Linked DNA regions of Drosophila melanogaster. The protein of the gene in region 1 interacts with the protein of each later gene in a pairwise test. Each region holds a gene or a part of one and is shown on either strand. Other genes may lie near its edges.

Region 1 (6,871 bases):
AGGGAATTGGTAACGTAACCACAGCACAGACCACAACATGACACAACATCGGAAATAGAGAGGAAGCTTATCAAAATGGGAAGCAACAATACTCAAGTATAAAATACGACCACTACCTAATTTACTAAACTACATCGTAGATCTTTAGTCTTAGCTGCAAATACTTAGTTAGGCCAGAAATGCGAATACTTAAAACTAACTACTTCCGCCCAAACAACTGTGATTGATTTTTATTTAAACTTATACTAAATTTATAACTATTTTAGTCACCAAGAACAACGCAACATATACTATGCAAATTTTTTAGTACGTAGCAACGTCGCTCTTTATACACACACACACATACTCACAACGAATCGGGCCAGCGGTAGAATCAAGTGAAAAGCATTCAAATCGGCTATGAAATGGTTTGAAATGGGTTTGCTTGCTCCGATCGCTGGACGAAGGGAACTAAAGAATTTCAAGAGTGCCTAGACTTGCCCTCCATCCCCACCATAGTAATAAGCGAGAGATGATTATCATTTATTTTTTGTATCCACTTTGTTTATTATTTTTTGTTCGATTAATAATCCCCCACTGTTTTTTTGGATGTGTTAGTGTGCGTGCAAAAATTAATTTGAGTTTTTGATGGATGTCACAAATATTTGCGTAGATTTTTCTCGACTAAAAGTCTATGGCTAAATTGAGGAATGTGATCTTTGAGAAAATGTAAAATTTTTGCCATATATCTTACATATACACCAATATATATACATATATATAAATAAATATATATACGTATACAATTATTTTTATTTATTAATTTACAAAACAACATTTGAATAATGCATTTATAAAGCAAATCGTTAAAGCATCCAACAATCGTATACGATAAGTAAAAGTCCTGCAGAAAAGCATACAGAAATTGTAAAAAACTATCTTTTCAAAATAAATGAAAATTCAAATAAAAACGTTAAAATAAAATGCACGGAGTGTTTTAGTTGTATGAAGTATTGTTTATCAAGTACGATAACTTAAGTCTCAAACAGAAAGTTTCAACTTGTGAATGATTCGTGTAATATGCAGATAGAGTAAGGTTTTTTTTTTAGAGTTAGAGTAGTTTTTAGTTTTTTTTTTAGAGTAGGTTTTGCTATCACAAACTGCAAGACGAACGTCGATTCGTATCACTTACATATTACATAACGCATAACTGACAAAGAACAGCATTTGACGGGCGACTATCAGAATGAACTAGGAGAGTTAACAATTCCTGGCACTTTGGCAAAGCTTAAAAACTATTTTGCTCTAGTTGGTAAGTATGTCCTCATCCTCGGGAGTTCGCCGCACCCACTTTTTCGTCACAGTCAGCGTGATGCCGGTGATGAGAAAGACACTGGCAAAAGCTATCATGGAATAGCCGAATATGATTCCGTAACTGGACAAATTAATGGCCAACTGAAATGGAAAGTATGGCACTTAAATGAAAGACATTTCAAATATGGATTAGGTCTTACCTTGGCCTTCGATGCCAATTCGGAGGAGAGCTCTGCATACTGATCGAACCAGAACATGGGCATTAAAACCTTTTGCACTCCACGATATATGCTGCAAATAAAATTTACTTTATGACTTACATTTTCCTTGAGACCTTTGCTTTTATGTACGTAATTGTATGAATCGTATGAGTAGTTTTTATCCATGAACTTTTACTTTACTTACTCGAAGTCGTCATCGGGCTCAATCATCATATTAATCTGGATGCGTCCATGCACTTGGACAGGCACTCCAGTAATCGGTTCCACGGCTAGGAAGAACTCGTGCTTCTCCTTCTCCGGCTTCATTCCACTGACAGCATCAACATACGACTGATCCGCTAGGTAAAAGTGAGGGAAGGAGGAGTAAATGGGTGCTTTGTCTCGGCACGCCTTGCACTCCACGACACCGGTCTTGGGACATTCATCAAATCGCGCCTCATCACAGAAGCACGCCTGGTTAGGGTAGTTTTCTCCGGAGTCCAGAGTCTCCTCGGTGCCTACCCACTTAGTGGCGGTCAGGCCGTGATTCTCGTATGTGCCCCGGGGCCGGAGGTTCATAAATCTGCAAGCATCGGTGGCAAAAATCGTAATCTCATCGTTTACATTCATCTTTGGCGGGAACATGTCGCCCGTGGTTCCATTAACAATGCCACAAGGCATCTCGTAAAATCCAGTTTCTGATTTTCCATTCCAGTGGGTAAGTCTACCCAGATTAGATATATCGTCAGTGCCCGTGTGAATAGTAAACAAGCCATCGTAAGTCAGCGACTCATTGCGGTCCGCCAGCCACCCGAAGCGTTTGTAGGGTATGTCGATCTTTGTGGTGTTGAACAGGTTTAGGAAATCGGTAATGTTATCCTGGTAACCCTCGAAGATCCATTCGCCCACCGGCTTGGTTACGTACAACTTTCCGCCTTCATGGTTCAGCATAAAGTTTATGATTTTTTTGACGATCTTGCGCTGGTCTCGCATCTCATCCGCTACCGTGGCGGTAATGGCATGGGCAGCAGTCACCATGTCGTCCAATGTGCCATTGGATCTCTCCGGATCAAAGAACCATGTGCGGCGCTCATAATATGCCACCGTTGCATTATCGTAAAACGTATAGTTCTCCTTCTTGTGCTTTTCCAGGAAGGTGTACGGACCCATTTCCACGAAGTTTGGCTTAATGTCCGGGTTCCTTATGTCCTCGGGATTCGTCCAATTGAACATGTAAAAGCTCAGGTAAATGGGGATAGGTGCCTCCAGCCAGCTTTCATAGGCATCAGTCCCGGGCTTGAGGGTAAGGCCCTGGGTAAAGATTAAGTTCATTTTAGTATGTCGAAATGAAAATCTTTTTTTTTTTTAGTTATCGTTCGGTAAACATATTTCCCTGAACCTGTAATACGCAATCTCGGACGGCTAAATATACTTACATCCTCTACAAGGTTATCTGCAATACCCGGCCAGAAGACCACGATTAGTATTCCCAGCAAAAGGAAAACCGATCCCAAGCCGAAGACCCAGACCTTTCGTTGAGTTTCCCCGCAGCACTTGCAGCACATGGTGGATACGTAGGATTCCAAAGGTTCACGCTTTTAAGGAATAGCCAAGGTGGGAATAATCCAGCCCTAGGCAGTTAGTTGCATCTGGAAGTGAAGACAGTTTGTGGGGTTATTTTTCCTTGTATAATCAATGTCCATAATCCGTATCGAATTTTTATTAGTTTATTTCCCGGTACACCCATCCTGGCACCCTGCAGAGTTGGTAATTTTGAAAATAATAAGACCAAGGCTTATCGCCGGCTGGTCCCTGCTTAAGTATTCGATAAGCATCGGCGATTATAAGTGTATATTTTTGAATATATTTTGCAGTCCATGACAGTTGGAGAAGATTACGTGGGACAGCCCACTTATCCGCACAGTCAACTTCAAGTGCAGACATCCGCAGATCTATTCAGTTTTCTAGCACTTGCCACTGTTTAGGTCGCCTAAACTTACTAGTTTTCAATCAAAGGGGATCGAAAATATTCCGGCCTTAGCACAATCGGAACTATCAAAACCGTACGCGTCCCCTGGCAGGGCGAAACTGGTGGCCAGCGGTCTACTGTGTGTCTTTTAATGGGTTCACTTGACGTTCAATTACCACTCGGTTCGTTTATTAATCTCTGGACTTTGCTAGTCGGGAATATTTGCTTGATTGGCATTAACTTGGATGCGTTTGGAGAAACACAAAAAAGAGATCACTCTACTCGAATTCCTCGACTTTCAGTTACTCGTAACTCAGGTAGCTGGCTGCCACAAAATTTTAATATTTTGGTATTCAGAGTGGGTATGTTGCAAATATTTGTAGCATAGCGATAGAAATGAAAATCTTATCTTTCTAACATTTATAGTTCGCGAGATCAAAGCGTTCATGCGAAGGCGGATGGCTAGATCGACTCGGGTGGTTATTCTGATCGAGTGAGTAGGTTTTATGGCAGATTGATTTACAATAGTTAAAATTCCTTTTAATATTATAAACATTTATAATTATGGTAATTTCATGCCTAGATGTTATTTATGTCCATGCTTGTCTGCAATTCAAATTCATTCAAGTCTAAGATAGTGTTTAGTATCGTTATCTGGGTAATACCCGCATTTCTCGGCTATTTGCTTCTGTGGTTGGTTGGTCAAGATGTTCTCACAAGGGGTTCCTATTTATGGCACTGATAAGATTAGCTTTGTGGAGATACTGATAATTCGGTCGAAATATGCTTTACTATACCATATCAGCCTTGATCCGTCCTGTAATCCAAAGTTCTTTTAATGCAATAGGAACGGGGCCTGTTTTTATCGTAAGTCTGGTGCATATCGTATTGCAATTTCGATTCCCTGCTTTGTTTCCTCCCGTCGACTGACTCAGTCTTGTTTTTGTCGGATTATTGGGCTGGCTCTATACTACAATGAATATTTCTTTGTTTAACGACTGATAACAGGCAAAAAAGGGGGTCTGGAACTACAGTAGAGCCTTTTGAGCTTGTACGAGTCCCAGTAGGATAACTCGAGAATTCATGTTAACTGTTTAAGGCGAATTAATATTAATAATAATTGATTAATATTAAATGGTTTTTAAAATAGTTTGTTGTAAACTGCATTGTGTATGCACTATATATGTTTACTGCATGTTGTCTCTCTTTTGAGGGCGATAGCTTGCATCCCGTGAAATGTTTGCTTTCTGGTTGAACTTAAACCTCGATCAACTTGCGCTTAAAGTGTTGACATCACCAGTTGCGAATTAGGCGTACAGTTATATTCACGTATTATTGCACATTACCGGCTGCATAATTAAAGTGATGAATTACTCACCTTTTATCTCACACACAACTACGTCTTTTAGCATTAGCTTCTGATGGCTCTGTTATTGTTTTGCTTTGGCCTTGACATTTATTATGCCATAGTTCGGAGTAAATTTATTTTTCTGGGACTTCCCGCTTCGATGATCGCTTAGTCCCTTTACCTTTGGTGCCTGGAATCGCAAAAGTACCGTACGAAAGGGATTCAAATTGTCAGACTTCCCTTCTTATTACTTTTACAGCTAAACTCAAGCGTGGGAAGCGCCTTTGGAATTGATCTGAAAGCTGCTATCCAACTAAAAAAAAGGCACTTTCGCGTTGCCGAAGAGGGCAAGCAGAGAAAGATAAACTGCAAACTTGCAGTTTGCTGGGCTAAATTGGATTAAACAATTTATTTCTTTATCTTCGCTGGGCGAGTGTGACCAGAAGCGTTTATATGCGCTGTAACAGCACTGTAAGCAACGTTGCCACAGTTTTTGGATTGACTGTAATGCGAAACAGCTGTTCTGTTAGAGAAGTGGTGACAACCCTAACGACAGTGCCAACCAATCAGCGCAGACCACGACTCACACACACAAACAAAGCTGCCAGCGGCGACAACTACAATTTTTTTACACTTTTGCCAGCATTTAAAATCGTATTTCGAATCAGCTGGTTAAAAAGAATGAATTGCTGAATCAAACAGGATCAAAAACGAAATGCAGCTTATCAAGTGCTTGGTTATAATTCAGCTGTCCCTCTTGCTGGTGGAGGAGTCATTTGCCGGCCGGGACTTCTACAAAATACTGAACGTAAAGAAAAACGCCAACACGAACGAAGTGAAGAAGGCGTATCGCCGTTTGGCCAAGGAGCTGCATCCGGATAAGAACAAGGACGACCCGGATGCCTCCACAAAGTTCCAGGACCTGGGAGCGGCCTACGAAGTCCTCTCCAATCCGGACAAACGGAAGACCTACGACCGCTGCGGCGAGGAATGCCTCAAGAAGGAGGGCATGATGGATCACGGTGGTGATCCGTTCTCTAGCTTCTTTGGGGACTTCGGCTTTCACTTCGGTGGTGATGGCCAGCAGCAAGATGCTCCGCGAGGCGCCGATATCGTAATGGACTTGTACGTTTCCCTGGAGGAGCTATACTCCGGAAACTTTGTGGAAATTGTGAGGAACAAGCCTGTAACGAAACCCGCCTCAGGCACCAGGAAATGCAACTGCCGCCAGGAGATGGTCACCCGGAACCTTGGACCCGGGCGCTTCCAGATGATCCAACAGACGGTGTGCGACGAGTGTCCCAACGTGAAGCTAGTCAACGAGGAGCGCACATTGGAGATCGAGGTGGAACAGGGCATGGTCGACGGCCAAGAGACGAGGTTCGTGGCCGAGGGGGAGCCACATATCGATGGGGAGCCCGGCGACCTCATTGTGCGGGTTCAACAAATGCCGCATCCGCGATTCCTGCGCAAGAATGATGATCTGTACACGAACGTGACCATCAGTCTGCAGGATGCCCTTGTCGGCTTCTCCATGGAGATCAAGCACCTTGATGGACACCTGGTGCCCGTCACGAGAGAGAAGGTAACGTGGCCCGGCGCTAGAATCCGCAAGAAGGGCGAGGGCATGCCCAACTTTGAGAACAACAACCTCACCGGCAACCTGTACATCACCTTCGATGTGGAGTTCCCCAAGAAGGATCTTACGGAGGAGGACAAGGAAGGTTAGCATATACATTATCACAAGAGTAATTGTTTCATTAATAAACGTTTCTAATTCTAGCGCTCAAGAAAATACTCGACCAATCCTCCATCAATCGCATATACAATGGACTGTGAATACCCATGTTTCATCCCCAATAAAAGTGCTCGCCGGCTGTACTCTAGTTTTTAAATGCCTAACTAACAGGGCGACTTTGATTTGGGAACGCCCCTAATTCAAGAGATGACTTTGTTCAAAAAAGTTGTGCGAAAACAATTTAATTTTAGTTTAGAATTTTGTAAAATAGCAAAAGTGTAATGAGAGGGAACTATTAAGGCGGTTCCTGCCGACAAAAAGGA
Region 2 (4,184 bases), on another chromosome or scaffold:
TGCGCGAACCAGTTTATCGACAGGCACTCCGCGAATTTTTTCACGAACGCGCCAAGAAATTTATAATAAATACGCCTAAGCTCAAATTGTTGTCAGCTGGCTCGGCTTTTGTTGATTTATGTGCGCGATTAAAGGAAACAACGCAGCGCAGTCGGCCGAGAAACCGCAGAATAAGATAATAAATATAAGTAATGCCGAAAGGCATCACCCCCGCCCCCAGTGTCACCAGTGAAATACCTGTGAGTGCCAATCAAGCGACAAAGAAACCGAAAAGACATCAGCCCGTAGAACGCCAGCCATAAAAACTTCGGATACATCCTCCGCTCCGCAAACATGGATACCCCAAATCAAATGCCTGTTGAGCTAGAAAGGTGAGTGCCGCGCCGGATTAAAAATAATCTAAAATGCAACCTTTGGGAAAAACACTTGGACGTCGTCCATTCCAGTTTCATACAAGTTGTTAATTTCTGTCAGTCTTTTGTTCAAAAAGTAACATTCATTAGGTCAATTTACGTGTGTTTTTTATTTGTAAGTTTTAACAAAATGATCTACTCCGTATCTGCGATCTAGCTTAGACATAAGCATAGTTAGCAATGTGTCCGATAAAGGCGATTGAGTCCTTGTACTTGATGGCGAACACGAACGGATGATCTGCCTCGAACTTCTTGGAGCGCGAAAAGAGTCCTTTAAGCACTGGATTTCGGAAGAAAGGTAGTCACTTCACTGGGATCTGCTTAGTGCACTTAGGTGTCTACTCACATCCAGTTTCCAGGGGTTGATCCACGCCAGCTTCAGTGACCTCCACATTGGCCTTGTGCTCCACTGCGTTAATGAAATGGCTGACAAACATGCGGTACATGTTGCCAAAGTCACCATCTCTCGAGAACATTGTATGGACGCCCAGCTAGTTGACGAAAGTTAAAGTGTTAGATTAAACATCATCATAAATAGTTGATAGTCTTTTAAAAATGTAAAAATGTAAAAATGCAATCAGAATTTATCAACTGACTTATGAAAAAAACCTTTCTCATAATCCAAAGAAATATTATTACAATATCGTAACCACTTGAAAATTCGCTCAAATCGATTCCTACTTACCTTCTTGAATGGTCCCTCCAAACCCAAGCCAAAGGTGACACTAAACTTGGGCAGCAGCACCTCCACCTTTTGCTGGCTCATCGCTCCGATTTCGGCCAGAAGATTCTTACCGGACAGCGACTGCTGCAGGGATCTCAGACCATCCTTGCGATTGGGCAGGAGCAGCAGCATGGAGAAGTCGGGGTTCTGGTAGGGCAGCTCCACCACCTTGGCGTCCAGGGAGTTGACCTCGGCGTAGTTGAAGTTCTGCAGCGTCCACATGGTGTCTACCTTGACAGACTGCCCGCTTCCGGTGCGGAAGGAGCGCTTTTCGGTCTTGTCCAGCCGGAAGGCCTTTTGCCAGGCGGCTGAGTAGGAAACGCCGTTCACGATCACTCCCTCGGTGCGATCATTCAGCAGCTCGGCGCGGAGGATGTCAGTGATCTTGCCGTTGGTCTTGGTGGCCACCGCCCGGTTGATGCCATCCGCCGTGCGCTTGTTGTACGGCGGGTGAAAGTCCAGCTTGTCGATGTTCGAGTCGAACTGGCGCTGGGCCACGTCCCTGAAGGAGCCCTTGAACTCAAGGTTCTCGTTGATGTAAATGTTGTTGGCCAGCCGGAAGTTGTTGTCGCGGGTCAGGGCCTGTTGGTAACTACCGCTGCGCTGGCTCACCGCATCCGCATCGCCAGGACCTAAACGCAGCCCCTGCTGCAACTCCGATGCCGTCTGACCCTTGGCCCCCACGAAGGCCAGCGCCATGGAACTCTGTATGGTCGCTGGCGAGATGACCACATTTTCGTTCAGATGATCGGCGGCCACGGCGTTGTAGAGATCGGCAGCCAGCAAATTGCGATCGGCAGCCGCATCGTAACCCACGGTCTTGGACTGCGACACTGTCGCGAGGAGAACTAAAGGAATCGATGCGAAACATGGCATTAGTCGCAATTTGTTTGCAGGCTCCGCCCCGCCAGATGAGGCACACTTGGAGAAAATTATAGCTCGAATAATTGTCACATTTAATTCACATATTTTTTCGTGCGATTTGATTCACTTTTTATATAATTTTCACAGAAATAGGAAGGATATTTGTCACTTTGAAATCGATTTGACTTTATCACCAAGTTAGAAACTGTGGCATTACGTCAAATATCAATTGAAAATAGAAGAAATTTATTCTTAATGATAATAAAACACCCAAAATTGTAGCAACTCTTTTGATAGCAACGGCCTTTAAAGTGGAAATACATTCCTGTACAGCTTTCGTACAGTGCACAAACCAGATCGCTTAATTGGGGCTTACGTAATAGGCAGCTGATGATGACAGCCATGGTCGTCACATAAATTGTTGATGGGCGTCTCCTGCTCCGCTTGATTCGCACTTGAGCTCGTCGGAATGTGAACTGAAATCTCTGCGATCGCAGAGCGCCTATAGAGGTTGATCCAAGTCGGATTCAAACACGAAACTCAGCTCTCGGGTCCCAAATACAAATACCGATCAAGTGTGTTTACAAATCATTTGTCACCTTTGGCTGGCCACGGGTGATTCTGTTTATTTCGCGGAGATTTGAGTGGGGCTGATAAGGCGATAGCCCGCCCGGCTTGAACTAGCATTGGAATCGAGAATTAGGTATGCCTAGAAAGACTCAGATGTCGACGATGTGGCCGGACAGCAGCAGAGTTTTGCCATTGCCGATGGCGTAAAAGAACGGGTGATTGATGACCAGGGGCAGGGCTCGTCGGAACAGATCCCCGAAGGCTAGAAGTACACCTGGTTTAGGAGGCTTCTTGGTCAGAGACTGGCGTGATCACTTACAGAACGAGTCGTCGGCATTGCCGCCATCCTCCTGTAGCTCCAGGAGACCACTCTGGACCACTGCTCCCAAGGGTGGAGCCGAACTGGACAGGATGGAGCTGAAGACCTCGCTCAGGTGGACCTCCGATGTGAATAGTTTTGCCAGACCCAACTGCAAGGGAAATCATGTTGAGAACATTAAATTTCCCACTCAAGCCAAAGGAGAAGTCTAATGACTGCTTCTTAGCTTAATAAGTATCCACGTAACTCTAGCGTTTCTTATTTAATATTGCGTTCCATATGGAAAACGTTTGATTTGAACTTGTACAAGCTGCAGTTCCAAGAGAAATCCTAACAGTTGTTAACTCACCTCCTCGAGCACGTGCTTCAGGTCGGAGTGGACTAGCACTCTGAGCTTGGGCAGAGTGAGGGCCACCTTGCGCTCCTCGAGCTGGGACCTTAGCTGGTGGAGATCGGACTGCGCCAGCTTCCTCTCAAGTTGGGCCAGGCCATCAGGCCGATTGGGAAATACAATGAGCATTCGGAGGTCTGCAGTGGCGAAGGGCACCTCAATGAGCTGGGCGTCCAGAGCGGGCACTTCAGCGTACCTGTAGCGGTGCTGTCCGAACATGGCATCCACCAGCCTGGGGCGATTTCCCCCGGCAAAGAAGTTGATGCTCTGCGTCTCGGTAGGATCGAAGGCCCAAGCCCAAGGGGCTCGGAAGGTGACTCCCGAGACGTGTAAAAAGGGCGTGTTGTGCTCGGCCAAGGACTCGAGTTGGGGGGCACTGACGAGCTCCCCCAGGCTGAAGTTGCTGCGGCTAAGGAAGGCGTAGTTGATATCCTGGGCCGCGTTCGACGCACTTTCCCACGACAAGCGGTGGCAGCCGACGCCCATTCGGGCGGCCAAGGTCTCGAATTCATTGCGGAAGTTGAAGGTGAAGCGCTGCTGTGCGTAGAGGTCACTCAGCAACCGCAAGCGACAGCCAATGGCAGCCGACTGCTTGAGGTCCGTCAAAAGGGTCTCGAAGTCCTGCACCGCAAGCTTCGGGTGACTGGCGTGGGTCAGCTCCAGAGCCTGGCGGAGTTGGCTACCGTACTCCGAAGAACTTTCCGCATACAGCAGGCTGAGCGCCGCCTGTATAAGCAAGGGGGAAACCACCACATTTGCATCTGGTTGAGTTAGTCCCAACTTAGTAGTTAGGCGTAGGCCAAAGCGGTTACTCGAGACGCTGGCCGGCGATCTGGCCAAGAGCTCCCCGTCGACTGGAAGCGTTAAAGCTATAGCCAGGCCCACAAGTAGGGCGGAAAGAAG

Evidence for each region. The genes of interacting proteins can lie anywhere in the genome.
Region 2: the proteins of crq (region 1) and Spn43Ab interact in a two-hybrid assay, tested with the Drosophila melanogaster proteins (one large-scale study listed by BioGRID).

Annotation. Positions count from the first base shown.
Region 1 is NT_033779.5:447,737-454,607, forward strand, and holds crq (croquemort), read right to left. Parts: upstream 5,289-6,871; 5' UTR 4,841-5,288; intron 3,567-4,840; exon of another isoform or gene 3,494-3,566; intron 3,143-3,493; 5' UTR 3,059-3,142; coding exon 2,930-3,058; intron 2,805-2,929; coding exon 1,699-2,804; intron 1,585-1,698; coding exon 1,494-1,584; intron 1,435-1,493; coding exon 1,285-1,434; 3' UTR 518-1,284; downstream 1-517. Other genes in the region: shv (shriveled), read left to right, coding at 5,526-6,534, 6,594-6,649.
Region 2 is NT_033778.4:7,151,160-7,155,343, forward strand, and holds Spn43Ab (serpin 43Ab), read right to left. Parts: upstream 2,484-4,184; 5' UTR 2,406-2,483; coding exon 2,378-2,405; intron 1,986-2,377; coding exon 1,099-1,985; intron 905-1,098; coding exon 760-904; intron 694-759; coding exon 572-693; 3' UTR 503-571; downstream 1-502. Other genes in the region: Spn43Ad (serpin 43Ad), read right to left, coding at 2,721-2,833, 2,891-3,041, 3,240-4,184.